Oryzias latipes: one gene and its partner. The protein of the gene in region 1 binds, or shares a complex with, the protein of each later gene. Links are inferred from orthologs where the notes say so. Each region holds a gene or a part of one and is shown in the gene's direction. Other genes may lie near its edges.

Region 1 (15,358 bases):
AAGAACAAGGGCCAAACCCAGAAAAAGTGAATCATCCAAGGAGTTTTGGCATGAGTCTTTACTAAATTAGACCTTTATTTATTTTAAATAAAGTAATTATAATAGCATTATGTCAGGAAAACCACTTAACTGTGTTCAGTTTCCTTTGTTTTGTAGATCATTAATAAAAAATAAAAATAAATCGCTTATACTTTTTTTTCTTTTTTTAAACTAAGCCAAACAGGTCTGTTTAGTATCGAGTTACAAGCTACAAAAAAGGATTGAAATTTGATTTTAGAGGCTAATCCTCCAAACAAACAGTTCTTAAAGCTGCAGTGTTTGGTGCAAAAAGAAAGACTCCAGGAATCTGATCTGGCCTCCGAACAAACCCCCGCATGACATCACAGTCACACCGTCCATCTTTCATTCACTTTGCAGCATTCAGTCTGAAATGAAGAGGGGGGGGCCAAAACTTTTTAAAGCTGGTACATTTTTGCTATGGACAGCACTCGCTGGCTTTGGTTGTTAAGGCATTTAAGTTCTTCTCTTAAGCAAAAAAAAAAAACATGCATCTGTGGGTAGAGCTGCAGACTGAGATCATGGCCCTCTTCATGCTGCAGCAAAGAGACATGAAGAGGATTTCTTTTAAGCTGTAAAGAAACTACCAATACTTTCTGCAACTCATTTGAGACTAAAGTGATGCAAACAGTGCTTGAACTGTGGCCTTGCTTGTTAGCTGCAAGAGTACAGCAAACAAGTACTGAGGAAAAATATGTACAAAATAAGATAGAGGACAGAGAATATTGCTGTGACATTAAGTCCTGGGTGTATGAAAGAAAATACAATACGTTGGGCAGAACTTGTGACATTTGTACTATTTCCCTTCTGACAGTAAAAAGGACTTTCACATTTAACTAGTCAGTTCATGTGGAGGACCTGTTAGCACCCCCAGGGTCCAACATTACCCCCAGGTAAAAGAACAAAATGTTGAAGAGGCACAGATGAAATAGTGTTTGTAAGAGGTGAAAATCCAAATACATCTCAGAAAAAAAAAGGGGATGAAAACATTAGAATTAGAAAAAGTCACAAAAGTTTCTAGATTTTCCTTGCCTTTTTTTATTTATGTATTTATTTTTAGTATTAGTATAAAGTATACAACTTTATTCAAACTGACTGTATGTAAAAACTGGACTGAGTAAGCGAGAAGTTAAAAAACACGACTTGCTTCTGGCTCAAACAAAATGACAACAAAGAGTTTACGTGAAGGCACGGATTTGCCTGTCTTGGGCTTCTGCATTCAATACTCTCGCGTTCACACGCTGCTATGCAAGTTTTTAAGTCTTTCTGTTTGGAATGCCAGGGGGGAGGGGTCACTCAGTCCAGTTCTCATATACAGTCAATACATACACCAAATATTGGGTAGGTGGTTGAATCAAAAGTATTTAGTGTAGCTCTTTCTGTTACAGTTAAGGGCTGGCCACAGGAAAAATTGCTGTTTTACTAATTAATCTCCAAAACTATCTTCTGTAATTAAGATATATAGAGTTGAAACGTGTCAATATGAGAACAAATCTTTTTGGAGTTGTGAAAAGCTACTTAAACATAAAAAGAAGCCGGATAAAAACAAACCAGGGGGAATAGAGAAGCTACAACTGTTGAATCTTGGGTGGTGAAGTCAATGGTAGTAAAACACAAGGAGCACCAGTCAGCAGAGTAAACTGTGCCCTGGTGTCTTGGTGTCATACCAGTTCAGGCAGCGGACAGAAGCAGTATTATAGAGCAGTGGGTCTGGCCAAGAGAAGGAACAATAGGTCCTGTGTGCCGGACCCTCGGGAGCATCACAACAGCTGGAAGATAGGAGATCTGTTTGTGGCTCCACTAAAAGGCAGGCAAACAGGAACCACTCGTTGCGCACACAAATTAATTTCTACCCTGACTTTCCCGAAATCCCTCGCCCACCTGCTCATTTTCATCATTTTTTCTCTCTCTTTTATTCCTCTCGTCCGTGCCCCAACATCGTGGGCTGTTATTCTGTTCCCACTATCACCCTACTGAATCTCTAAGGGGAAAGACAAAAGGGAGAGATACTGTTCTTGTTAGCAAGAAAGAAAAGAGAGGCTGGCAAAGAACCAAAGCCATGTCAACAAAGAGCAGAGGTTGAAAGCTTCAGCAGAAGCCACGCCAAAAAACGACTTTCTCACACTAAAAACTATGAGCAGTGTCAAATATGCAGGAGCAAAAACTAAAAGTGGATATGCCGTATTTTCAGGAGTATAGGTCGTCCCAGAGTATAAATCCCAGCAGCAAGAAAAAAAAAGCATTAAAAAAAACACAAGTCGTACATTTTGGAGAAAATCTATACACTTTTGAACAAATCTAACAAGCCCGGTCAAATGCATTTCATACATCAAATGTGATGGAGACGCTACAGTCAAGTTTTTAGCCTCATCGCTACATGGAAGCATTGATTGTACAGTATATCTGGGTTATAACCAGTTCAGTGGCCTTGTGGTTAGAGTGTCCGCCCTGTAACTGGAAGGTTCAAACCCAAGCCGAGTCATACCAAAGACTTTAAAAATGGAACCCATTAAGGGACACATTAAGGGGTTGGATTGGGGGGTTAAGCCACCTTCCCGAGTCTGCAGCTCATTGCTCCCCCTGAGGATGGGTCAAATGCGGAGAACCTAGGTGTGACAGATAGTTTAACTTTAGAATCCACAAAAGACACAGATAATATTGAGAGGTCAGGTCTTCATGGGATCATTCTGTTTCGGGTTTTTTTCTACGCCGATCTTTACGTTCTACCGCAGGAACCAGAATTATGGCACTTTCAGCAATACTTCCATGTCTCTGTAACCCAGTCTGATGACTTGCTTGCAGTCCCGCAAAAAAATTTCCACTAATGTCTTCATGCCATTAAATAATATATCATAAAGGTCAGGAAGAGAACAATCAGATTCTCCTCCATTTCTGTTTTGGACTGTGTTTATTCTTCGCTGTTGCTGTCAGTAGCAAATACTGTTACACACCTATAGTGTGTGTATCTCTCAATGTTATCCTATAGTGTGTGTATCATACACACAATCGGTTGTTTGTGGAAAAACAACAAATATATGAGCCTATATTTATATTTTAAAAATTGCATATTAGTCGCTCCTGAGTATGAGTTTCACCCCTGGCCAAACTTAGCAATAGATTGTGACTTATACTTCGAAAATACTGTATGCCACACTCTGCTTGCATCTACACCCCACATGCTGTACACAACAAGAAAATATGGATATATAGACATTTTTCATGAAACCTTGACGGTACCTGCAAATGGGGCAGTTGGGTGCATGAGGCTGTGCGTGTACTGTATTGATTATGCATCAAAGAGTTGATGTCACAGCGCAGCAAATCCACACTACAACATCTATGAGTAAATCCACAGAGAGCTGAGAGGGAACAATCACGTCTACTGCAAACATCTGCAACAATTTCAAAACCCGGCAGTCCGTTCTGCGCACATGCATGATTCCTCTATGGAAATAAGAGATCTAGGTTATCCAGTAGTAGTCCGAGGCACTTTCACATTCAGTAGCCACTGTAGTTCTTGAATAATGCATCACTTAAACTGACATTATTTGATTAAATGCAAGTGCAGTAGGTTTATTCATCCAATTCTGGGGAATTCGCTGCATTTTAAGGATTTATTCTATTGGAAAAGTGATCTAAACTAAGCTGTTAAATGATTTAGATGAGAGAAAGAGATGAATTTTTAAATATCAGGAGGACGATTGGCTAATCATCACTGGTCTCTGCTTCCAACACTCAAAAATCCAGCGGCGTAAGCACAAGGACCAGCAGTGTGGGAACATTACGAGCTCTGCAGCCAATGCCTCAAGAGATGATTCATTCTACATCAGTCATACATTTAAAACAACACGGACAACCTTTAATAATATACTGCACATCACACAGGTGTTTAAAAAGGACTCACATCCCGAAATTTGCATGCAATACACATTTAAGAAAAAAAATCTATGAATGGGATCCATAAGAAATGCCACATATGACATAATACAATGCAGAGATCTTCAAACTGTCGTGTAAAGCTGTGTAAAAACATTGTTCCTCGGCCATTGGTGTTGCACCAAGGTTTCAAATTTCACAAACCATAATTTTCACCACAATCTACCATCCCCCGCCCCCCCACGACAGTGTACAAACCGAGCTGCCTGGACTGGAACAGTCCCCAGCCCCCAAGTCAGTGCGCTCTAGGAGGGGGGGGGGGGGGGGGGGTCATTACCACACTGTACTAAACTGAAACTCTGATATCCCTTTCCCCGTGAACACACCACAGATGGGGGGAATAAAGGATCATTTATGGGGCTTTGCAAATATTTGCTTCCCCCCCCCCCCCCCCCCCCTCGAATGATATCCTCAGACTCTGCAGCAGGAGCCCTTGCAGATGTGGAGTTATCCCATCAAAAAAGTGCCCTTTTACTGGTAAATACGCATGATCACGCGTGTACTTTTTAAGAATAATCCACATCTGACCACTCTGCATTACAGTCACCTGTGTGCTGAGTTGACGTGAGTCAGTGATGGCCAGGCAGTGTTGAATTACCGTTATTGCCAAGAAGACAGCCCCGGTTTACGCTCTACAACATGGTGACTGACTCTGCTTCTAACTTGCTGGAATTAAATACATTTTAAGTCCGTTTGTCAGTTAAAAAAAAGAAAGAAAAAAAATGAAGTCACAATAAAGCCACGATGCTACCTCAAAATGATCCTTAAAATCCCGCTGATTTTCTTCCCATCTTCACCAAGAAGCAAAGCGTGCCGCCGTGTCCAAGAATTTAAATCCCCGTGTTACATCCATGGTTGTGCCGTCTCTCATATCCAATGCTCTCCTGCTGGAAGAGGCGGCGGCGAAGAAGGATCCAGCTGCATTTTTTAAGGGATTTTCCGGCTGGAATTCGGCGCAACTACAGGGAAATCGTGCTAATCTAAAACAGCGTCAGGTTTTATAACATCAAAACATTACCTTAATTTAAAAACTTTTAGTTTTTGTTGTTTATTCGAGGTTACGACCGTGATGTGGCATTCATTGAGGAGAAAACGCCCCCGTTTCGGTCTTGTAATGGTATGAGCCACTCCATTGTTGAGGAGTGAGAAACCGTCTGTAACTGGGAGTGCGCCAGAAAAGTTGTTAAAAACAGAAACCTAAAAAATAAAATATAGATTTTAAAAATAGTTATAATGTTGTGCATATTTGAAATAAATTCTTAGAATGTGTTTTGTTCATAAAAGTATAAATTAAAAACTATATGCTTAATAAAACAAATGGGGACTATTTAGTTACATTCCACTTAGCAGTGATTACACAGAATATACATTATCCACATTTCTTTAGAATTGGTTGAAAACATTATTATAATATATTCTTATCATATGCCAATGTTTTCTGACTTTATGTTGTATTTTCTTCACTTTTTTAGGGAAATTGTTGCATAACTCTGTGTTACAGACTCATACATGCCAAAAAAAAGTAGTAGTTGCAAACTGTGTTATAATACAACAGATAGGCAATATTGCTCAAGTATAAATGTGTCATTCTTAATTATGCAAATTACACATTTCAATGGATTCATGGCGTGCTTTTATTTTTGCAGGCTTGCTGCTGACTGCAGTGTTTTGTAGGCGCTGTAAGAACCAGAACCCTTGGATCTATTCTGATCCTATTTAACTTGTACAGAAGAGGCTTGGGACCATGGACAGACAGAGAGAGAGAAAAAGGGCAAAGAAAATCTCGACTTTAATCTCAGAATTTTGACTTTTTTCTCAGAATCCTGACTTTTTTTCTTCTCAGAATTCTGACTTTAATCTCAGAAAGATTAACTACGGACGCCTGTGAGCTATTTCCTACAGTTACCTTTAGCAACACTTGAGTCATAAACGCTGGAGTGTAACTAATGCCCTGTTTCAGTTTCTTGTTGAAGGCCTAAAGTTTAGTTTAAAAAAAAAAGCAATTGTCATTTGTTAAGTTAATGGTTCTTTTGAGGAGAAAAAAAACTCCTAAAACACACACAAAAAAGAAGAACAAAATAGTCAATGAAATTGATCAGAACACATGGCTAAAAATTGTGTTTAGTGCATTGGGGAAAAAAAGCTTAAAGTTGCAATGAGAAAGGAAAACAGTACATTTTGTTAGTTTTTCATGATCTCACTGTTGTGGAAAAAATACATTTTGGTCAGCTGTAAGACCCATTGCTTAATATTTTTTAATTAAAAAAATAGCATGTCTATAAACATGTTTATGTGCTACGTCACATTATGCATGTTATAAATAGATAAATAAATAAAATATATTAGTCTTACAAGCATGGTACCCGCATTATAATTGGTAAACACTCATAACTTTAAAATTGTCCTAATTTTTGATATAACGAGTTTTTACATTTTTTTAAATGAAAGTTGAATAATTTTGTAACCGGTAGTCCCGCCCTCGGATTTCCGGTAAATTCACAACATTCAAAATGTCTGCCGCCATATCTTCCCTCGCTTCGTACGGTAGCGATTCTGACTCAGAAAACGAGTCAGAATCAAATACTAGTACAGAACAAGCTGACCCGATGGACTCGGATGCAATGGTTCACCTTAAACCGTTGCAATCTGGTAGCATAATGTCTTTGGCAGTTCTCAATTCTGCCCCGGAGGTGGCTGTTAAGGTAAGCTAAGGCATCTAAGCTAACTCACGTTAGCATAAAATGTAAAGTTTGATGACTGCTCCTCGACGACAGTTTTTTACATGTTGATAAATGTTGGGTAAAAGTCGCGAAATCTATAGTCAGGGTTTTAAATGTGTATAAGAATTCATACAAGTCAACTTATGAACACAAATCAAGTATAGACCACAAATATGAGCTAAGGCAGCAATTACACAAGTGTACATGATGATACATTAAAGATGTATTTACTGGCCTCTTACTAATGCTTTTTATTAAGTAATAATTTATTGGTTAAAGTTTTTGATATTTGCGTCTCAAGCGTACGTAAATTGAAGTTAATCTTACTTTATTGCTTTTAACGTTGAAATCTCCCTATGTTTTCATATAGCTATTAGTGTCTTAATTGAAAATAATAGGTTAATAGTATGTAGAGATGTCTTTATTTTTAACTGACAGTGTTCTCCAAGTTAGTTACAAACTAATACATAACTGATATTTTTAAATGTTTCAGAACTGTATGTAATGACCTGACATCTGTACTACTCAATAGTTTTTTTTAAACACTTGTGAAAATGGAGTGTAATGTAAGATGACAATATTTGGCAAAGTATTTCACATGTCCCTTGATAATTTTGTTAGTAATGACTGATAATCATTTGTTTGCGTTGATGGTAGGAGTCTGTTGAGACTGGTACACACCTGGATCCCACTTTGAAAGAAGTCAGTTATAACCCGACATATGAAACTCTGTTTGCTCCTGAGGTAAGTTTGTAGTCATTCCACAAAGGCAAATTCAGAATAATGTTACCAACGAATGTTTCTTTATTTAATCAGTCAAATTCTAACAAATGTGACTTGTATTGGGGAGAAAAAAAAGGAAAACTTCTCAATTCAGTCAGTATGCAGCAGAAAAAATCACCAGCTTTACAATTTACGATTTGATGCTCAGTCATTGTTTTCCTACCGATAGTTTTGTCATTTGTCATTACTGTTATCATAACATATATTTATAATAATCAAGCCCAGTTTTTGACAATAAAACCAAGCTTCCTGGTTTCACTGAGGTGATTTATTATGGATGCAGCCTATTATATATATATATATATTTTTAAATTCTATGAGATTGAATTCTAAAAACCTTGATTTAAAGGCTTCTTTTTCGACACTACTTCCCTCACTTATTTGAAAAATCCTGGAAAAAGAATTAATTTCCACATAATTACATATTCAACACTAGATTATTATTGAAAAATATGTGGTTATGTTACTTTTGGGGAAAAGATAAATTCACAATTTTCTATCCCAGTTGAATTTTCTTTTGTTTTTCATATTCCTCTAGGTATATGTGTTTTCTAACAGATTAAAAATAGAAACAAATTTGTCAGAATCGATAAAGATGAAAAGACATTTTAAAGTTGTGAGAGTGTTTGACTAAGACGTTTTTTTTTTTATCTTAAAGGTTTATAGTTAAAAGTTAATAACAACAGGATTATGCAGTATTTCTGACAAAAATGATGGTAAATACTTGTTAAATAAATAAATACATTCCAGTCAAAATAGTAAAGGCTGGATTTACTAAATTAAATAGTAGTTTTACTTTATGGAACTACAGATGGGCTCTTCTCCTGCTTCACACAAACCAAAATTTCATTAATAAAAATGTATGTTGTTTATGTAATCAAAACATACAACTATTGGCTATTTTTATTTCTTTTGGATGAAAAAAATCTGGGTATGTTAGATGTCATGATTTGTTTTTTTATTTCCAACCATCTACAGATGAATTTTCAAAGCGGAAAAACTTTTACGTGAATACAGAGTGACACATGAATTAACAAAGGACTGTGGGTCAAACACAACTGTGTTAATTAGTCTTGTTTGTTCCTAGTTTGGACCAAAGAACCCTTTTCAGACGCAGCAGATGTCCGCCCCCAGGAACATGTTATCTGGATATGCAGAACCAGCTCACGTCAACGACTTTATGTTTGAACAACAAAGAAGGACGTTCTCTACTTATGGTAGGGTTGACTTTAGGGTGGATGAATTCTTTCAAAGTTCACACTTTGAAGACCACAAACCCATATTTTATCTGTTGATAGGTTATGCTTTAGACCCTTCTGTTGACGCTCAGCAAATAACCACCACTAGCTACATCGGAGCGGTGGATGAGGCTGAGAAAAATAAAGGTATTTGTTGAAAGTTATTTCTCATTGCATCATTAAACCATAATCCTGTGAGCCCTGACCACCTGTTTACAGGTAGAGGAGACAGACGAGCTCATGGCTTAATGTCTGTCATAAAAATATTGGAAGATGTCATTGATTTGCTTCTTTGTGTTCACTGGAATTCCAGGACTGACCGTTTTTGAAAGCGGTCAGAAGAAGACAGAGAAAAGGAAGAAGGTTAAGGGGGGAGAGGCTGCAGATATTGATCATTTCCTTGGGCCGTGGGCCAAATATGAAGATGAGAAAAATGTGGCCAAACCAACAGAGGTGATGTTTTCTCTATTACAATGTACACTGTGACTCATATTTAACAAAAATTTAAGGACCGTTGAGAACAGCGAAGTCAGCCATTGATAAACAGATATAAGATGCTACAGATATTACAAGCTTTTATGTTTGTTTTTTTAAATTAATACTTGCCACATCGCACATACTTTGGGAGAGCTGTGTTTTAAAATTAAATGTACCCATTAGAAAATATTGATTCATTCATTAAATTCCCTTTTTTGCCATTTCTTGTAGTTTTAAGGCTAACAGTGGGTTTATAAGTTCTTTTAAGTAAATATTTAATTTTTTTAACTTTTGTTCAAATTAAATAATTAATTTATGGGGAAAAATCCTTAAAATAAAAAATAAAAATGAGTATTAGGTTGGATCCGATAAAGAACAGTTTAGCGAAAAAAGTTAGATGGTGTTTAACTGATCTGATATTTTACTGTCAAAGCAAGAATATATTTATAGTTCTTTGGCGCTTAAAAAAGAATCCGCAAAAAAATTCATTTAAAAAAGTGTTTATGGAATTTTTCTGTATGGTAGAGACATACCTTGAATCCAATGTTACCTAATGTCTTACTCTATGAAGCCACAACCCTCTTTAAAGTATTCTTTACACAAAAACACATGTTTGAGATGAGCTGCCACCTGTTGGCCTGTTCAGTCTTTGGATTGTTTGAAGGTTATGGTGTCTTGAGATTTTTCTAATGATGTATTTTCTTGTGCAGGAAGAAAAGAAGGATCTGGAGGAATACCTAGCTAAGAGGCAGAAGAGAGGAAAGAGGGAGGAAGAGTCTCCGGCAGAAGAGAAGACCATTCTTCATGGTATTTGGTTTTTTGATAGGAGTCTATAATATTTGTTGATTATAATTACGTTTTTTATATTTTAATGTTTAGAGTAACAAAGTCTTTAGCGAATTCTAATTCAAGTGTATCACAAAAAGATGGAATAATGCTTTTCTACTATCATTTTTCAGTAAAAAATCTGCTACTATGAGAAATTTTTACATCTTCTTAAAATTATTAAATTTCATTTGAACTATGAATGTTAAGCAAAGCTCTATGCTATACTGGATTGAAAAGTATTCATGTTTCAAGATCATTTCAAACACTTTTCCCCCCATTTGTTCTTCTCACAGTCAAAGACATGTACGACTACCAGGGCAGGTCTTACCTCCACGTTCCGCAGGACGTCGGCGTCAACCTGCGTTCGCCTGATGCTCCAGACAAGTGTTACCTGCCGAAGAAACAGATTCATGTGTGGTCTGGACACACCAAGGCGAGTGGAGCGGCCGTTAATGATGCTCACGCTAAAATTTTTTTTACTCTGATATTTTAAACTTTTTTTAAATTGGTGGACTTTCTATAGCAAGCAACAGTCCTCAGAATCTGATTTGTCATACAAATAGGTTTTAGAAAACCGTCTTTCCTATAAATGCCGATGTCCAGAAAAATTCCTCAAAGCCTCTTATGTAGTGAAAGTAACAGAACTATTAAGGAAAACAACTTTTTCTGTAAAAGTTCTTCAACAGCAACACCCTATTCTGATCTGAATGTCAAATTAATATCTCTTTTGGGTGAGGACATCAAAAGTTGGTGTTCAGCTTATAAGTAGGCTTTTAGAGTAGAAAAGAAAATTAAAGTTAAAATAGTTTGACGCATTTAGAAATATTTCAATAGCAATAGAAAGATTTTGATAATATTAGGGACAATAAGATCATGTTTAGATTCAAACAATGTTAAATATTGTTTTTGTTTTTTTCTCCCAGGGTGTCAGCGCGATCCGGTTATTCCCCAACTCCGGTCATTTGCTGCTGTCCTGCTCTATGGACTGTAAGATCAAGGTACATAAATATGTTTGGCTTCAGTATATGCTTTTTATTGGTGTGATATTTATTAAAAACATATCATTCACTTTTAAATTCTGTCAAGAATCGTCAATTTTGTTAGCTTCCCATAAAAATCTGAACATTGTTTCGATACAACCAGCTTTAAACCCCCTTTTGTTGTAAATGTGTGTCTAATTTGTCACATTTTTCCACAGTTGTGGGAGGTTTACGGTGAGAGGAGGTGTCTCAGGACATTTATTGGTAAGTGTTATTGGATTTATTTTTGGTGTCTCTTTCTGTTCTAAATTTTCTGAATAAGCTGTTCATGTTTTGGAGTCCAATTAACCCCTTTCTCCACCAGATCCCCAAAATAAAGCAATGTTTGTAGCATGAAACATTTTATGATGAGATCTTTTCTCATTCAGAAATGATGCAATCTAGTGGGGGTATATTATTTTATCATCTTCATTCTCCTTTTGTTCGTTTCTGGATGTTCCAGAAACATTTTTAGAGAGTGAAAGTTGTGATTATACAGCCTGTTTTTTAGGTGTCTGCTTGCAAAAATATACCAAGAATTATTATTGATCATTTAAAATAGTTTGATGTGAAATACCTTGTTGGATGAATGTTTTTGGCTCTTAGCTTAAACTGAGCCCAAACGACTGCCATGGAAACAAATAAGAGATATTTATATATTTATGTTGATAGTTTTGTCTCCATAAAGACACAAATTTCACAATAAAAAAGTGTAATTTGGTGTTTTAAGGTGTCAATTGTGAATAAATAAAATGATGAAAAAGGTACCTATTTATTATAACTAGTATTAATGGTTGACCACAGCGCCTGGAATCATTAAGTATTTTGTTATCTAACTGTAAGATAAGCATCAAAGAAAGCATCATCAGCAAAGATGTTGACTCCGGCTATGTTTGAGGTCTAAACTGGAATAAGCCCTTCAGTGACTGACTGTGTTTTCAGCGTTGCAGGAGCATTGATGTCTTCTGGTTGGAAATTTGCAGTTATATTTATGTTTTAATTTTATTTCTTAATTCTTATGGTGTCGGGAGGGTTGCTTGGCAGATAGACAACTTTTCCACACGTCTCACTGAGAGCACGTTGTCAGAGTAAAGATTGTTTGTAGCTGTGGCTCTCCTTGTCAGCTCCTTCAAAGAAGATGCATAATTCAGCAGCCCAGGGGCAGAAGAGGGGACGAGGGGCAGAAAACATTGAGATGGAGGGGGTGAAGAGCCAGACATGCGCTGTTTCTGTGAATGAACAGAGATGCATGCCTTTCTTCTCTTAATTCTGTAAAAACAATCATCAGACTAATGTATTTCTTCCTAAAGACAATTTCATGCTAATTAATCTTGGTAGTGATGCTTATTTTTTTACCAATTTTCATGTTTTAACCGCTGAAACATCGAATAGTGTTGCCTTGCTTTCCTAATTTACTGTAGTTTCAGTTGTATTGTGTAAAATCATTTGTGCATACATCTTTAAGACTGTCTGGTGCTGTAGTGTTTGCTTTGGTCTTTAATGAGCATGTGTGCATGAAGCGTTTGTCCTTATTGGAGCACATTGTTGATAAGAATACTGTTAGCCCACCGCAACCTTGTGATAGTCAGAAAAGAAAAGCCGTAGAGGTTTACTTTCAGCTTAAAGACCCCCTCTGATCATGTTTTGTTTTTAAAAACGTTCCCCATAACCCTTTAATTTTGATTATGCCACTTTTTTTTCCCCTTTTCTCCAGAATCAAAAACCTGTGTTGTTTTAGGACAGAGTTTCTGCATGAATGCTGCATAGATAAATGCATAGATAGCTTTCTGCATAGAAATTTGCCTGAGAGTTGTGGGCGGTTGTGAGCTCTTTTTCAAATTGCATTTTTGTAGTCTGCTCCTGATTCACAATGATTTGGATAAAGAAAGATTTAGAAATGCAATTTTGAGCTTACTATCTCCATCTTAAAAAAAAAATACACAAGAACACCAAAGACATAATTTTCCTGGTCTTTAAAAAAAATATGCGAAAATGACTGTTCGACAATTGTTAAATTGTCGTCATTTTGAGTATTTGTACGGCATTTGTCTGTTTCACTGAAGTGTGTATATTTTGTGTAATAGGTCACAGCAAAGCTGTGCGAGACATCTGCTTCAGCAACACTGGGACTCAGTTCCTCAGCGCCGCATACGACCGCCACATTAAACTCTGGGACTCCGAGACAGGTACGAGGGTCTCTGACATCAGTGTGCTTTCCCCAGAGTGACTAAATTCATGTTTTTGAATAAAAAATACAACTTTACCTGCATGGAGGGGTCCCCCCCCCTCCTCCATTAGGTTTTGGAGCTTCTCGTCAGAAACATAACCTAGCAGATGTTTTATTAGCATAAAGGTCAAAGCAGCAATCATTGTGGATGCAAAGGGGATTTCACATGTCAGACTTGGCACCCAGGGAGCAGTCACGTTCTGCTGGCTCTGTTTAAGCACACGTCTAGAATAATCTTTAGGTTGATTTAAAAAAGAAAATAACAGCGGGAGAGTTTCCATGACAACAGTTGTCTAAGTGAGCTTCTGTCCTTGTCACTAATATTTTTTCTTAGTTACTCAAGGGTGTTATACATGGCTTAGGATGACATTTGTAATCAGTTTTTCTTATTTACATATTTATGTTTTTTACCATCAAGGTGGGTAAAAGTTTGCTCCTCCAGCAGAGGGCAGAAGAGAGTTAAATCCCCCACTGTAATCCAAGTTTATGGCTCACTTTTGTACTTTTCGTTTTTTTTCTTCCGTATTTTCTTATCGCAGCTTTAATAATTTATCACACATTTCTTCCAACTGTACTAAAATGATGGTGGTAGCAGAGCTCTTATTACAATCATGAATCCCTGCAGGGTTTTCGGTCATTTTTCGTTTCCTGTTTGCCAATATTTCTAGCATTTGTCACAATCATTCACCTTTTGTGGAATGAACAAAAACTCTCAGGGGTTTTCAGTTTTACAGCTTGGTTTTCTTCACATAAAGGGATCCAGCAGAAGCTGCAGAATCCTTTTTTTTTTCTGGAAAAAATATTTCGGATTATTCCCTAGCTCTTGAGTTTTAATTAGCTTTACTCCACAGGCCAGTGCATCTCCCGCTTCACCAACAGGAAGGTGCCATATTGTGTCAAGTTCAACCCAGATGAAGACAAACAGAACCTCTTTGTGGCCGGCATGTCGGATAAGAAGATTGTTCAGGTGAAGAAACGGGAAGAATGAAGCTGTGCTGACCCAGCAGATGCATGAAACTGTACACAGGCAGTGCCCACAGGACCGTGAAATGCACTTGTCTCACTTTTTTTAGCAAGTTGTGTGTGAGTGGATGACAGGAATAGAGCAACTCATAAATCAAAGGCAACAAGATGGAAAAAATCTGCAAAAGGATAAAAAACATTCTGAAGAAAATTAGAACAATAAAGGTTTTCTATTTTCTTATCGGATAAACAATTTATAGAATTTGAAGTGTACAGACTTGTACTGTGACACCGAGATTTGATTGAAATCAAAAATAGAAATGAAGATGATCTCAGCCCCATTGTTTTCATTATGACCAGTAGATTTCCCAATCTGGCTGGTGTTAGTCATGCAGCACTTCTCCAGGTTGTGAGCACAGAAGGCTGCTGGCCTCAAGGGTGGGCTTTTAATGAAAGAGCACAACCAGGCAGTGCAGAAATGTGCCCGTTCTGGTTTCATGTCCACAGAGTCGTTTCTGGGTGGTTTCCTTTCACTCTTTAGCGGGAAATATGATTCCTCACTGTGTTTCCCCCCCCCCCCCTGCGTGTGTGTGACAGTGGGACATCAGGACAGGCGAGGTGGTTCAGGAGTACGACCGCCACCTGGGCGCTGTCAACACCATCACCTTTGTGGACGAGAACCGGCGTTTTGTCAGCACATCAGACGACAAGAGCCTTCGAGTTTGGGAGTGGTGAGTACAGTTTACATCCCATAATGCAACACCTCGTCATTGTGACCATTTCGTCAAGGAATTTTAGATAAGAAAAAGAATACATTAAATCAAGTGTTAGTTTCAGCTAATATTAGGGCTTTCCTCATTAGTTGCACTTTTAACCAGAATTTTTAAATCAACGATCCATCTAATGTTTAGGTGTTTTTAGTTTTCTTTATAATGTGCAGTAAGAAAGTGTGGAAAGAGCATACAAAACTTTTTTTCTTCAAAAAAGAAAAACAAGAATAATAAACTAAGTTTCTTATAAGGGGTAAAAAAACAAACATGTTTTTATCAGGTCACAGATGCACATACTGATTACTCAGCTAAGCTTAAAAGAACAGAATTATTGTAGAAA
Region 2 (15,346 bases), on another chromosome or scaffold:
TAAATACGTTAACGTGGCTATCATGTAGCGTGTACCAAACAAGTTCTAGAATTATAATGAACGCAGTTAATAAAGTCTGTCTCACTAAATGCACCTTTTAGTTAGGTGCATCTTATACATGTCTGCTGGTGCGCCTTATAATCCGGTGCACCCTATAATGTGGAAAATATGGTACATAAATTCATTACATAAAGTCCATTTCTTGATTGTTCAGTGATTTTCCATCTCTCACTGTTTAACCAAACCTACCATTAGGATGAAACTGTCCATTTGTTTCTAGGTAGGCATACCTTAAAAGTCAGCAAATGATCAAATACTTCTTTCAGTTACTATTCATGACTGAAACCGTGAACCAAAATAGTGGAAGGAGGAAATGGCTGTGTTAAAAGGAGAAGCAATAAAGAAAAAAAACAAGATGTCTTGTCTTGCTGTAAATCCATATCTCGTATAACTTCCCGCTCTCCTGGCCCACTTACTGACCCTACGAGAAACCAGAGCCGGCCAGCTCTGGGCCTATGACATAGCTCTTCCTTTCCCAACACTTATGACCCAGTCACCTGATGAAACGCTACACCCCAGTTACCATTATTTGTCTGGATACTGGAGCCTGTGGAATGTATCAGATTCCTGCCTCAGGGGGGGTGGGTGTGCACCTTAGGAACATGGTCCGGCCACAGATAGCCTCTCCTGTTCTCATCTCTGTTTCCATTCAGCAAAATTCCACCAGAGGCCAGCAGGATTTAACCACCCCACCCCCCCTCCTTTTTTTTTAAGGCACTTTAAATTCTGACACATATCTCTTCATAGGACAGAGAGAAGTTCTCAGCACTGTTTCACAGCTGCCGTCTTTGCCCGCCCATGAAATAAAACTTCCATTCTCCATTGGTGATGGCAGGACACTAAAAAAAAAAATCAGCTTTAGTAAAAAAAAAAAAAAGGTACACTACATAAATCTTAACAAGAATACCATTAACTTCTGTGCAACAAAGGTGCAACCCCTCCCCAAAACAAAGCAACGATTATGCCGTGCAGTCCTCCAACCTGTATAGAGTATCTATGAGTCACTGGTCTGCGTAATTCAGTCAAGGGAATTATGACAGTGGAAAATCATTTCCTTCAGCCGCGGATAGGAGGCCATGGCTAATCGTTCAGTAATCTGATCTGCCTGCATACTGTAGCCTTCAGCTGCGCAGCTAGCCTAGCCAGGCAGTCACACATGTGGACACCCCCGGTGCCTGCCAACTGTCTAATGGAGCCCAGCACCATTCGAGAAGCGACTCTCTGGGTTTTTCCTGAGGATTACAGCCCGCATCATATGGTTTGCTAAAACTAGGTTTTGCTGAGCTGCCTACTATGCATTTTTCCTTTGACCCTTCATAACCTTCGCCGCGTAAAAATGCAACATAATTCTACGTAGAGTTGGCGTAATAAACTCAAAATCCCAAGGCAGTGAGGAAACATCCGATTGTGCGCATCTACAGGAAGTCCAATTCCAATGGGAGATTGTAGTATTTAGTGAAGTAAGTCATTACTTTATGAAAATGAAGCAGCACTGGGGCACAAAGCAAGGCTTATATCCACTAAAAAAAAAAAAAGGACAGAAAAAAGTTGGGGGTGCTCAAGTTTTGGAAAGATGCCTGGCTTTAGCTCCACTCTAAAGAGAGGTCTGCTCCCCACACACTGAGAGTGCCTACAAGGGGCAGTGACATGGAAAACTACAAGAGCTGGCATGTTGTGAGCCCTGTAGCTCCCAACAATTACTCTGTGTGGCTTTAAACGTGATGGTAGAGTTACTCCACACCATTATGTTGACATCCTCCTCTAGGTGGAGATAACAATAAGGCACTCAGGGCTCCACTAGGCAAACAATGAGTTCCGGCAACCAGTCCGATCGTCCCTCATCCTGAAAAAAGGGCTGCTTGGTGACACGATTTGTCAGAGTTCCTGTGCTTTTATCGGCCTTGGCGCGCAGGTATTGCATCCCCAGATGTGTCTGAAGCGAGGAGATGCTAGTGCATGATCAAATGGACGCAGCGACACGCTGGCAGCTGAAAGCCGCCCGATCACAGCGCGTTTGGCCAGATGGAGGTTTAGAACAACCAGACAAACAGTTGGCGTGGATAAACAGAACACAACTTAAGATTCAGCAAATTTAATAAGCATGCAACAGCAACCATCATGCTTTTTTTTTTTTTTGCTCTTCCCCTCCTCCTCTTAATATGTAATCTTCAAATGGAATAAGCCCTATATTTTTCAATCAGCAAAATGCAAGCTGGAACATGTGGCAACTAGAGGCTTATGGGTAACAATACTATGAAGCACCGGTCAGATAAACCTCATGAAGCCGGCATGCAGCTGAAGGAATGTGCTCTGCAAAAGTCCTTGTGACTTTGCCAAATCCATTTCCAGCATGAGTCAATGTTCTCTGTAATCTCTTATTCAGCTAGGAGCACCCCAAGGTAAACCATATCAGGCAGGTCTGGACTGTCCCCCCTACACAAACCTTCCACTGTTTATATTACTGAACATCTGCAGCTCTTAGTAGAGACAGACCTTTGCTCTACCAACAAAGGAGCAGCAAAACTGGCCTCGCGCGTACAGGAAGACACTGCTCCAATCTCGCAACAAACAGCCAATTAAAACCGCCGAATCCCATCGTCCTACTTTTCCCTCAAAAGAAGTTTGGAGAATCCCGCGTCGTGGGATGCTCTCCCACCCAGGAGGGCTGCCCGTGTTTGAGGCGGTTCAGAAAAAAAATACGCCTGACTGTTAAAACCTTCGTAAATAATAAGCCAGTAAGGGATTACTGCAGGTCATAATAATCCGACGCGTCGTATCACAACACGGAGCCTGTTACCACAGCTGAGAGCCAAATCCCACTCAATCGTTTATAAAAGATTGTGTTGGGAGCCATTGCATTCCACTTCTAGTCTTTTGTCCGCCTCTTGTCATGTGTGGACTTGCAGAATGAAGTGAAAGACGAATCATCCTTTCATTTGGATTTGCACACACTCGTTGGCTTCTTTTTTTTTTTTAAATTAGACGCGCCGGGGGGGAAAGCAAGGATTATTTTATTGTTACCCCTGAGTTGTTTTGAGTCACTTACTTGAAACGAGCATATCCACGGCGTTAAACGCACCGCAGCGGCTACAAAGTTATCAAAACAAGTTGCTCGGTGGCCGCTGGTGCATTCACGGGATTCGATCGCGGTACTCCGCCGTGAAAATCTCGGTGCAAACCGGCTGCAGCTCTAGCTTCTGCCGGGCACTAAACTTCGAGCAGTGAACGCATCCTTTCATTTTTCGCGTCAGAGCCAGGCTAAATATGAACGCTGCCTCTGGGGCTTTTTGTTTTATCTTCAGTCGAGGGGAGTCAGGCATTGGCCTCAGCCTCGCGCGAGCCAGACAGCGAACACGAGCCCGGCCTGGGAGAGCGCGCGGCGGGGCTCCGCGGTACCAAACACAGGCGAAAAGCAGCGCCAGCACACTTGTTTTTGTGTCGACGTACTCACCTCGTTTTAGCAGATTTCGGACGCTCTCGAGCCGGCTGGAAGGAAAGCGGCGCTGGATTTCGAAGAGTGAACAGAAAAGGGTCTCGGCTCGCTGTTGTCCTTAATGTGGAAGCGGCACGGCCGACTCGGCTGGGAGAAAGCTGGAAATGTGAGGAAGCCCCTCTCCTTCTGCAGCGTTGTGCACCCAGCAGTGGCCCATAACTGTCAACAGGTGGCGCCAAAGCGACACTTTTTTTTCTTATGCGCATGCATGCATGTTGAAGTCCTCAATATTTCTTGGGCTTATCTGCATCCCTGCTCCACGGTGCTGGGATTAAAGGGACCTTGATCTTCTGTTCGCTAATACTCTTGAACCAATTTTCTTGTGAAGTGATGCTCAAATTATCTTAACAGATTTCTTTCAAAAATGTCATTGAAAAGTAGCTGTTTGATTTGCTTTTAACAATTTTTTTTGGGGGGGGGGGGGTATCGTGATTTATTTATAGATAAGAAATTACTTTACAGGCATACATTATGGCAAATGAAGCGTCACAAAATATGCCTCTGGTTACAGATGATCTTATAACAGAATATACAGTTCTTTTCGGGGGGTTTTAATCAAAAATATAAAGAAAGCTTGGAGTATAAAACTAATACAGACAAATTCAGAAACAGCCCCACTGTAGAGTTGAGGCATTAGCAACAAAGAACAGCAAAGACACCTACAAATCCACTGGCCTTGTGACTCATGAGGTTGGTCATTTTGATCTCTAATTAGCTAAATTTGAGACAAAGCTTTCCTTCAAAGCAGTTTGGCCATCTCAGTCTTTTCACATGATAGAAAGGACGGGGTCACATGACTCATTAAGATATGGAAGGTGATGCCCTGAGGGGGAGTTTCCTGTGGTGATCTTTTCAGGGATGTTCTTGACGGACTCTGCTGGCCAAGCAGAGAAAGAAAACAAAAGGTTAAAGCGGATGGAAATTTCCATTCAGCGCCTTACTGTGGAAGCACAAGCACATGGTATGCCCCTGATTTACAACCAAAAGTCCATGAACCTCTAAAAGCACATCCCAAAACGGAGGGTCAATATAGTTGTTTTTAACTTACATGTGGCCTGAAAGAGCTCTGCAGACCAGTTAAGTGGGCCTGCATCTAATCTCTGCTCTGTGAATCCACAATCTGACCTGTGAAGTTAAATAAACATTCAGGATTTAAAACCCACTCGTAATCTTCAGCATCCTTCGCCTCACTAATTGGAATTTCACACAACAAAGACACCATGGCCTGAATTGGACCAGGTAAACGGGTAAACTCTAACTGGACAATTGGCTTTCACAAGCTCCCATACACCTGCCAATCAGCCAGCCTGTCACTTCTTCCGTCTCTGGAAATGACACAAACTCAGGCGGCGCAAACTGTTGGGACTCACAGTTTTTCATAAACCTAAAACACTTTACATCACCTTTTTGCATTTATCATAGATTTATGATCAAATGAAAAATAAATAAATTAAAAAATATATTAGATTATTTAGCAATACATTAAATTAATCATGTGTTTATGAGGAAAACTACATGTGTTTAAACTTCTGATAAAACATACCATTTTTGTTGCATAGCTCCTCTACAGAAGTTAGATTTTTTTCCTTCAGACGGAGCAGGTCATGGACATGGATTAGGTCTAATCCGGAGTCCGTAATCAGGTTAACAAGTAACTAAAAAAAAAAAAACTATTAACCTTTAGTTCCAGAATAGAAATAAGTTCATGGTCTTTAAAAGCAATAGCATTAAATATTGTTCCTGAAATAATAAAAGCTTTTTTAGGATAACAACAACTGTTTTAACAAAGCATTCATTATGCTTTGCTGAAACATTTTCTACTTTTAGATAGATAGATAGATAGATAGATAGATAGATAGATAGATAGATAGATAGATAGATAGATAGATAGATAGATAGATAGATAGATAGATAGATAGATAGATAGATAGATAGATAGATAGATAGATAGATAGATAGATAGATAGATAGATAGATAGATAGATAGATAGATAGATAGATAGATAGATAGATAGATAAGTTAAGGTTAAGTTAATTAGTACTTACAACTGATTACTAAACTTTACTCACACAAATGTTAAGAGCGCAAGAATATTTTCGAAACAGAATGAACAAAATTTTGTGACGCTTGTAAAAACTTGTTATCCTATTTAAACAAAACTGTTGTTTTTTCGGGTGACATCAGATAGTTGAAAGTAAAGATCTTAAATTGTCAACACTGGCACACCATATTACTGTCAACACGTCAAACCAGTCCAACTCGATCCATTCCATTGAGGGTTTGATCACTAACAGTTTCTGGTGAAAGAGCGACACCCACAGGCAAGTCTAGGACCTGCAGCGCGGTGCATTGTGAGTTGTCGTTGTCGGCCCGGTTCTCCTCTCATTCAGCAAAATGGCGACTTCTCTTGGATCCAACACCTACAACCGACAAAACTGGGAAGACGCGGTATGTTGAATTGCTTTTATAGTTTAAGTCTAAATGTGTAAAGAGACCACACATCAATTTTATCACATTTCAAGAATACTATTACCCAAAAGCCTCTTTGATGTGTAACAAGGTAGCTTCCCGCTAAGTAGCATAGGCTAATGCTAATGCGGGAAGCATGGTAGCTAGCTACTGTTCTTCGTATCGTTACAGTAATTGTAAGTCTTTAAATCCCTTAATGGGTCAGGCAAACACAGATTGTGGATCGTTGGCAGCTAGTATCATCCATTTCCAAAAGTCCAAACAGATTTATCAACCTAAACGAGGCTCGGCATGTATGCTAATTTACGTTAGCTTTAGCTGCCTTACGATGCTGAAGTCATGTTGGTTGAAATGTCATATTTGTAAGACCGACTCAGCATAATGTCAGTCAAAAACAATTATTTTAGAAAAGTTTAAAGAATAAAGTATGTAGAATAATCAGAGTTTTAAACAATAGACCTGTTTGTTGATCTCAAACCATGATGTTGCAACCTCGTCATCACGAATATTAAGAATTCATGTATTTTTTTTCGCAATTGCTGTTACAGGTTTCCTGTTTGATTCCGTAACAGTACTTCTTCTCTTGTTTGAGAATAAAATATGAGCTAAAAGATGTCTAAGTAATTGATTCATACCTGACTGGCATTTTTAACGCAGTTAATGCGACACTTAACCAATCCGATGTAAACTGGGCAACTTAATTTAAGTTCCCACTGTGGTCCTAATGTAAATCAAGCAAATGTACAATTGTACCTTTAAATCTTAACACGACTATAAAAGATAAAAAGTGTTTGTGTCTTCCCTTAAAGCATAACACAACCAGACATTTGATTAGTTTTAGTTGAAGCTACAGTCTAAAAACTTTGTAACCCGAATATGTAAGTGATGTTTGAGCCCAATGATCTGCCCATGTTTGGGGTTTTTGGCTGATGCGGTCAGAAGGATGGAAACAGCATCCTTAACCAGATGGAAAAGTGGGTGATGCTGAAAGCTTTACTACCCTCACATGTACATTTGTCAAGCAGAGGCTGAAATGTAACGGTATCCCTTCAGCTTGAATACTAGTAAATGATTAGCTGAGAATTGTTGAATCCACGTTTTCTTGTCTGTTTCAGGATTTTCCGATTTTGTGTCAGACATGCTTGGGGGAGAATCCTTACATCCGTATGGTGAGTAAGTTTCCAGCTGAATTATTTGTAGGTCTTGTTTATGAATTCACATTAATCATATTAGTTGTTTTTTTTTTATATACAGACCAAAGAAAAATATGGAAAAGAATGCAAGGTATGGCTTTCTGTTAATTTTCCTTAGCCTTCAGAAGAATACACAGCTTAAACTTGAAATATTTTATCTTTAAACTGGATTTAAAGTTTTTCTTCTTTCCATTAGATCTGTTCTCGACCCTTCACTGTATTCAGATGGTGCCCGGGGACTCGAATGCGTTTCAAGAAGACAGAAGTCTGCCAGACTTGCAGTAAAATGAAAAATGTTTGTCAGACATGTCTGCTTGATCTAGAGTATGGTGAGTCTCGGGATCTTTCTACTTAAATTTGGATTTGTGTACCCCTTGTGCAGGTCTTATTTGTCAGTGTAACACTTTCTCTTGATGTGTTTTGATTGACAGGTCTGCCTATCCAGGTCCGTGACACAGGCCTCACAGTTAAAGATGAGATTCCTCGCTCGGACGTGAATAAAGAGTATTACACACAGAATATGGAAAGAGAGGTAGATTTCCTTTATGTAATGACTTTTCTCTTCAGTAGCATTGCTTGTTATGACGTATATTATTTTAGGTTGCAGTCATTTCCTTTACTTCCAAATTGTTTTCATATTGAAAAATGCAACACAACTTCCAAAGGTTTCCCAGTTCCTTTGCAGCTCTCAGGAGTCTGTAAATATCACTGCACCGAGAACAGCTTGGAGCATTTTGATCAGAACTGCACATTTATTGTCATTAACGACTCGTCGCATTCACAGATGGCTAATTCCGACGGCACACGGCCTGTAGGCCAACTCGGCAAGGCTACGAGCTCAAGTGATATGTTGCTCAAGCTGGCCAGGACCACGCCATATTACAAGAGGAACCGGCCGCACATCTGCTCCTTTTGGGTGAAGGGAGAGTGTAAGAGAGGCGAAGAATGTCCCTACAGGTGAGGACTAATAGCATCTGTAACCAAAAGACAAAGGTGCTGCTGTTTGGTAGATCTGAAACTGTAATCCATAGTTTTATTTGGTTTAAAAGATAAAAAATATATACCAGCATGTTGTGTGTCTTTGGGTTTTATTCCTGTGTTTGCTGCATTTCAGGCACGAAAAGCCCACCGATCCCGATGATCCTCTGGCTGACCAAAACATCAAGGACCGTTACTATGGCATCAATGACCCGGTCGCTGACAAGCTGCTAAAGCGAGCCTCAACCATGCCCCGACTAGACCCACCAGAGGATAAGTCCATCACCACTCTCTACATAGGCGGTTTGGGAGACAATGTCACGGATGGAGATCTCAAGTAAGGTTTTTTTTTTTTTTTTTTCTGTCTTTGTCACAACAAGAAGTGACAATTTTGATGCCTTTATACTGTGCTTGAATTTCTATGTGTACTCTTGCAGGGGTCACTTCTACCAGTTTGGTGAAATCCGAACCATCACTGTAGTCCAAAGGCAGCAGTGCGCCTTCATCCAGTTTGCCACGCGCCAGGCAGCTGAAATGGCCGCAGAAAAGTCCTTCAACAAACTCATCCTTAACGGACGGAGGCTCACTGTCAAGTGGGGGAGGTACGATGACTCTTGGTTACTGAGGAGGCCGTGCTGTCATTTGCTTGTTAAACGCCAGATGTTCTTAAAAGAGCAAGAGCCTTTCAAACTGCCTTGAGGTGAAGCCACCATCGATGTTACAAGTGTTGGGAAACGGCTGAGTGTGGCGTTTAAAAAGTGGTTATTAGAAACACAGCAGGAGCTTAATTGTAGCACACAGGTTCTTCCCATCTGGGAGATATTCTGTCACCTTTTTTTTTGTCTTTCAAGTCAATCAAAATTCAAACCTGTTTGTCTTTTAGGTCTCAAGCAGCGAGAGGAAAAGATGGTGTCAAAGATGATGAGCTTGGCATCAGACTGGATCCTGTACCTGGACTTCCTGGAGGTAAGTCTTCTCTCACAGGGGGGGTCAGTATTTTATGTGTGCGCACATGCAGTTCAAGTCAGGGGTGTTGGCGCCCCTTTAGGAGGTCAAATCATTTTCCCATAAACATAACCACTTGCTAAAAAAACGATGTCTCTAAGAGCCACTTATTTGGATTTGTAAGATGCTGAGATCCACACGTTACATTTTAGTTTGGGATCTGAGGGTTTTTATGAGAAACTAAACGGTCATCTTACATTTTACTACACTGTTTTTTAAAATAAAGCACATTTGGTTATTTTTTGTTTTCATCAAACAGCAGTTTTCTAAGCGTGTTCCTTCTTCGACACACTTTGATGAAAATGGTGTTTTTAACATTTATCATGTTCATTATTTGGATGATGGAGGACATATTTGAAGAAAATTAAACTCAAAACTGCATTTCTGAGTATTGTTTGTATTCAAATTCGTTGATGATCAGTAGCAGATGAAAAAATGCTGTTGGGGTAAAAATATGTATCTGCGGGGTAGAAAATCCGCTGGGCGGGCAAAAGGCTTCCTGCTCCGAGTCTCAGCCACAAGAATTCAGAATCTGGATTAAGATGCAGCAAGAACATCTTTTTACCGCCTTTAATTCTTCTCTTTGCCAGCGCTGCCTCCACCTCCAGCTTTAGATGAAGAGGGTCATGCCAACTATTTTAACCTGGATCCCAGCTCCGCTCCTGCTGTCATGAACATAGGTTTGCCTCCACCTCCAGGTATCAACCCACCTCCTCCAGGTAAAAACATGGCTTAGACTTACTTCTAAGTGATGCAGAAAGAAAAATGGAAATGGATACTAAAAACCTTCTTTTGCCCACGCAGCTTTTGGTCCTCCAATGTACCACCCTATGGGTCCCATGGCTCCACCTGTGCCCCCTGCTATAACGATGAGACCTCCGGGTGCAATCCACTACCCCTCCCAGGATCCTCAGCGCATGGGTGCTCACGGCGCTCACGGCTCCCGTCACATCACCGAGTGAAGTCCTGCAGTAAACGTTTGTCTCGGTTTCCTCACCATGAACCTGGTCAAGTGTTTTCATGTGACAGCCCCAAACCTGAAGACTTCACATGGATCAGTCCTTCCTTCTGTACACAGCCCCACATGACATCCAATGAATTCATTACCTCAGTATGTCTCAAGAGGAAAAAAGTGGAATAGTACTCCATCACTGTGTAGCTTCTTGCAGTTCTAAATGAACACAAAAGACTTCCAACATGAGTGCTGGCCATGATTACTGTTGTAAAGTTCTTAGGGGTGGACCTGTTCTTGTCTTATTTTGCATAGTGTCACATAGAGCTCGATATGGAGGATTAATTCTAAATCTGTCTCTTTTCTGATTTCTTTTTTTTAAAATAAATTTGATGCAATATTCCACTGCATAATGACTTGGGTTTTTTTTCCTGAGCTCATCATCAAATTGACTCAGCTTTCATCTGTTTGCACCATTTGGTGGATTTGGAAGTCTGGTAAATGAAAATATATTAAACTAGAGTGTAAATTAATAGACAAAGAGACTGCATATTAGTATTGCATGTAAAATGTACTTTAGGAAATACTAGGAATATTCTATTGGAAGTATTTATCCACAAAAAGAAACTCCATCTTCCCCTGCTTACAACTGGTACTCCTTAAGGAAGATTACCCCAGGAAAACGTTTGCTCTTCAACTTCAGCAGTTCAAGCACAAGTGGATTAAAAGAAAACAACTTCAATCTTTGTATGGTAGTTTCAATGTGGATATTTTTCTTAATCTAGAAATTCAGCCATAGTCTGGATATCTTTGTTGTGGGTGTTATCTTTCATAAGATTTTGAGAGTTTTCAAGTACTTATAGACCGGCTCATGATTTCATTTGGATAAACCATGTAGGTTTATAAGGTAAATAAGTTTACAAAGGCAGTTTTATTGCAAATTCCAGAAGTAATGCTGTGTGCAGTAGTCGTGTTTGGAAAGCCATTGGTTATGTGACTTTAAGAAAAAAGTGTTTATAATATTCAATCTTAAATAAGAGCTGACTCATTAAACTAGCAATCCTTATGGTTTTTCATATAAACATATGGATGCTGGTCCACATCCAACAGATCTAATATGGGGCTTCTGTTTTCCTCCAACCCCCGCTTTATGTTCCTAAATTCAACGAAAAACCCAGAAAATCGGCATTTTGTAGTTTCCCAAATAACCACTAGGGGCAGCACCATTTCCAGTTGACCTTTACATTAAAATGTTTAGGGCTATACCAAAAACACATTTCTGTTTTAGGATAACATGTGAGAGAGCTGATTATATTCCAATACACATTTTTAATTTAAAGAGCGAAATTTAAGGGCAGTTTTTTGATCGACAGCTTGGTGGATCCACAAGTGGACATAACAAAAAAATGCTTTGTCCTGGACAATTGCCCACTTTCAGAGCATTGTTGATCTGTTATTGGTATTGAATATAGAAGCCTCTCCTTCTGTTGTCAAGAAAAGAAAATAAAACATTAAAGTTTTGGAAATAAGAATAAAAAAAAACAAAAAAAAACTCTCTTTTAAAACCAGCCACCAGTGGTCAATTTAGGAACTGCAACCTTTGAGTTTGCATCAAATTTAGAAACAGGAAGTGTGGGATTGGCGAATTTATGTCTGTTATTTCCCTGTTTACATACATTTTGGGTGCAACTCTTTAAAATAAACTGAATAAGTCTTTATTTTAAGATAAGGTAGGTTTATCTTATTTGTCTTAAAATAAGATGAATATTTTGCATCAATTGTCTTGAATTTACAAACGGGTAATAATTGCACTAATTAGCAGTTTTCCTTAGCTGTCGACTGTTTTTGTGGGACTGTTTTATATTATAACTGCAACCCAATTTTAAAAGAAACCACATATATATGAAACTTTTTAAATCTGAGAAAAAATACACATATTTAAAATTGCTGCTTTGTTCATACTTTTATGCACAGAAAACTTTGCACCAGGCCCCTGAATATTTTTGCATGATATAAATGGAAGTCTGTGTGGTGTTGACAAAAACACAGAACAGAGGCCATTAACAAAAATATTCTGGAAGCATTGACTGTACATGAGAACTGGACTGAGTGAGTGTGATGTCATCCATAGAAAATGACTTACTTCCCGTCCAACCAAATGAAGTCAAGCCAATTTTTGGTGATACGAACATGGACACGTTAGAGCCAAACAATATCATTTAGCAGTGATTGGTCCAAGTCGGTCTAAAGGGCCGGGACGAATATTCGCCAGGCGTTATTCGCCAGGCATTATTCGCCAGCGTTTTTCGCCACGTTTTTTGTGTTCACACCCAGGCGATTTTCGCTGACGATGAGCCGAGCGAACATGCAATTTCATTCCCTGACATTAGATGGCGCTTAATGTAAAACAGAAATACTCCTGTACACAAGGTGGCGCTGCGCAACTTTATGCTTCTTAAAGTCGCTTTTCACTCAGAAGAAGAGAGCGAGTATTTACGCGCTTGTCAGAATCATACAAAGAAAACATGAACATTTCAAGCACCAGTAGCTCCAACTGGTGCTTGGTTCGGGGATATTTTAGAATTTCCGTCATTATTTCTTCGCGGCAGTGTAGACGCTACTTGGCGTCTATCTTCTTCGCTGGTATATGTGCTCAGAAAGGCAGTTTTGTGTTTGAGCGCCCCCAAGTTGTGTTTTACTGTAGCTCCAGAAGCTCCAGACATGTGTGCAAAAGCGCCGTTCTCATTGGTCGTACAGTTTTCGACGCGGCGCGTCGAACCAAAAAAACGAACCCGAGGCGTTTTTTAAAAAGTGACGCTTTGACGCGTGGCGTTTTTTCGCGTCGGTGTGCACACTCACGTTGGTGCCCTTTGTTTAGTCACGAGGCGTTAAACGTCGGCGAATATTGCGGGCGAAATTCGTCAAGGTGTGTACGGGCCTTAAAGGCCTTAAAGGCCCTTAAAGGCCCGTACACACCGGGACGAATATTCGCCAGGCGTTATTCGCCATCCCTGACATTAGATGGCGCTTAATGTAAAACAGAAAAACTCCTGTACACAAGGTGGCGCTGCGCAACTTTACGCTTCTTAAATTCGCTTTTCACTCAGAAGAAGAGAGCAAGTATTTACGCGTCTATCTTCTTCACTGGAATGTGTGCTCAGAAAGGCAGTTTTGTGTTTGAGCGCCCCCAAGTTGTGTTTTACTGTAACTTCAGAGGCTCCAGACACGTGTGCAGAAGCGCCGTTCTCATTGGTCAAATAGATTTCGACGCGATGGGTCAAAAAAAAAAACGAAACCCGAGGCGCTTTTTTTTTTTACGCTTTGACGCGTGGCGTTTTTTCGCGTCGGTGTGCACACTCTCATTGGTGCCCTTTGTTTAGTCACGAGGCGTTAAACGTCGGCGAAAATCGCCGGCGAAATTCGTCCCGGTGTGAACGGGCCTTAAGACGGCATTTCTATGGGAACCATTCCCACCAATCAGGAATTAATTTGTTGGAAGTCCACACTCCTTCCACTGTCCAGAGGCTGCTTTGCCTCAGGAGAATCTGTTAATCAAATCTTTCGAACATTGAAGGTGGAGGCCAATAGGAAGCACATACTTGCATTGAAGCATCTGATTGGTCAGTTTATTATTTAAAAAAACTTGCAATGAAGAAAATTATATCGTGAAAAATTAAGGACTAGTAAGAACATGTAAAAAAAAAGGTAGAAAGAACCAGAATGGTTACTCTGACAAATTGAATTACTGAGTAATAGCTGTTTATTTCTCAAAAAATATGGGATTTTGTTTTTTTGAAACTAGCGGATACTTCCTATTTGGAACACGAGGGGGAAGGGCTTACTCAGTCCAGTTCTCTTAATGTGTGGAAGATTGGTATTGCCGTTATTCCTATTTGTTCTCCCAAGAGGAAAAAACAGGTATCAACTTTGTAGGAGGAGAGGGCGGGGCTTGAGTCTTTGGCTTATCGACTCGTCGTCTTCATAGTTCATTTGATTCCGGGCTGTAGTTCCCTCCCCATCCCCTGGGAGCTCTGTTGAAGTTGGGCCGTCGACACATGTGGTCCATAGAGACGTTGGGAAGGTTCTGGGACGCCACTGCCTCAAAGGAAATGACTGGGATCACTCTCCTGCTTGCCGTAGAGCCCCCAAATGGCATCGGAGACCTTAAAGAGCAAAAGCATGATCTGAAATCCTGCTCCTTTCTCGTTTTGTGGATAATTTCCACAACATGCGACTCAGATTCATGCAAGAAAAAGCAAAAACAACGGCAGGTGGATTCAGCATGGATCATGCATCTATGCATGTACTTATATCAGCAGTTTGACGACTAGTTGAGCAAATTTCAGTCGAGTCTAGTTATTTCTTAATAACCCCAAGGATGTAAGTCTACCCCCCCCACCACCACCACCACCATGAGGGTACAGTTACAGACTGACCCACAGAATTTGTTTAACCAAAAGTTCCAACAGAGCAATGTTTTGAGTTGCTTGTTCGTCAGTTACCCATCAGTCCAACCTTCACCTTTGCCACATCTGATGAGTTCCTTTGTGCCACATAAAAGACCATTCTTCTTTTGTCCCGAATGCATGTCAAGAAGGTTGTACCCCCCCTCCCCACTCCCCCAGTGGATCGTCTATCAAGGCCAGGGTTCGAAATAGCCACAGTGCTGACAAACTCCAAGGAGGCAAAAGGCAGAGAGACTGGCTTAAATTTCAAACTGTGGAAACATGGAGTGGAGCCGAGGGATGAGATGATGGATAACTTGTTTAGGTCATTCACAGGTCTTTCTTTAGACGGGCCGGCCTCAAACCTAAACTCAAACTCAACTAGATTTATGAGATTTGATTGTTTTTCAGCCAGTTTGGACATATTTACCTGTTAAAACACCTGTAGTTGGCAGGCTGTAGTTTTTGTGGGGGCTGTGGCAGCTGTGTGTTTAGGAGACCCAAAAGCTCCTCATTGCCTCCCAAAGCTTCCCTCCATGGGGAGCAGTAAGATTTGGGGATTATGGTTGTGTTAAACTTCTCATGGGGAATTTCCTTCAAAGGTCCAGAATATCCTAGTGAAAGAAAAGCAACATTTGAGAAACTCTTTTGTGACAAAAAGCTAAAATTACTTTAAATTTGGAATTTTTTCTATAAAATAATCTTGTATTTTCTGTAAAACCAAAAACTTGCATTTCAATGAAAACCATC

The links.
Region 2: cdc40 (region 1) and rbm22 share a complex: the UniProt entries of both Homo sapiens proteins name them as parts of the postcatalytic spliceosome P complex. The link is inferred for Oryzias latipes from reciprocal best matches to the Homo sapiens genes CDC40 and RBM22.

Annotation. Positions count from the first base shown.
Region 1 is NC_019882.2:8,072,396-8,087,753, forward strand, and holds the start of cdc40 (pre-mRNA-processing factor 17), read left to right. Parts: upstream 1-6,503; coding exon 6,504-6,695; intron 6,696-7,370; coding exon 7,371-7,457; intron 7,458-8,583; coding exon 8,584-8,713; intron 8,714-8,794; coding exon 8,795-8,881; intron 8,882-9,047; coding exon 9,048-9,187; intron 9,188-9,921; coding exon 9,922-10,018; intron 10,019-10,332; coding exon 10,333-10,472; intron 10,473-10,962; coding exon 10,963-11,037; intron 11,038-11,237; coding exon 11,238-11,283; intron 11,284-13,142; coding exon 13,143-13,244; intron 13,245-14,136; coding exon 14,137-14,252; intron 14,253-14,845; coding exon 14,846-14,979; intron 14,980-15,358. UniProt on the Homo sapiens protein: Required for pre-mRNA splicing as component of the activated spliceosome. Plays an important role in embryonic brain development; this function does not require proline isomerization.
Region 2 is NC_019868.2:16,382,277-16,397,622, forward strand, and holds rbm22 (pre-mRNA-splicing factor RBM22), read left to right. Parts: upstream 1-5,872; 5' UTR 5,873-5,948; coding exon 5,949-6,002; intron 6,003-7,138; coding exon 7,139-7,192; intron 7,193-7,277; coding exon 7,278-7,307; intron 7,308-7,412; coding exon 7,413-7,545; intron 7,546-7,647; coding exon 7,648-7,748; intron 7,749-8,000; coding exon 8,001-8,173; intron 8,174-8,330; coding exon 8,331-8,531; intron 8,532-8,631; coding exon 8,632-8,796; intron 8,797-9,077; coding exon 9,078-9,160; intron 9,161-9,789; coding exon 9,790-9,918; intron 9,919-10,003; coding exon 10,004-10,161; 3' UTR 10,162-10,561; downstream 10,562-15,346. Other genes in the region: myozenin-2, read right to left, coding at 14,131-14,314, 15,027-15,210. UniProt on the Homo sapiens protein: Required for pre-mRNA splicing as component of the activated spliceosome. Involved in the first step of pre-mRNA splicing.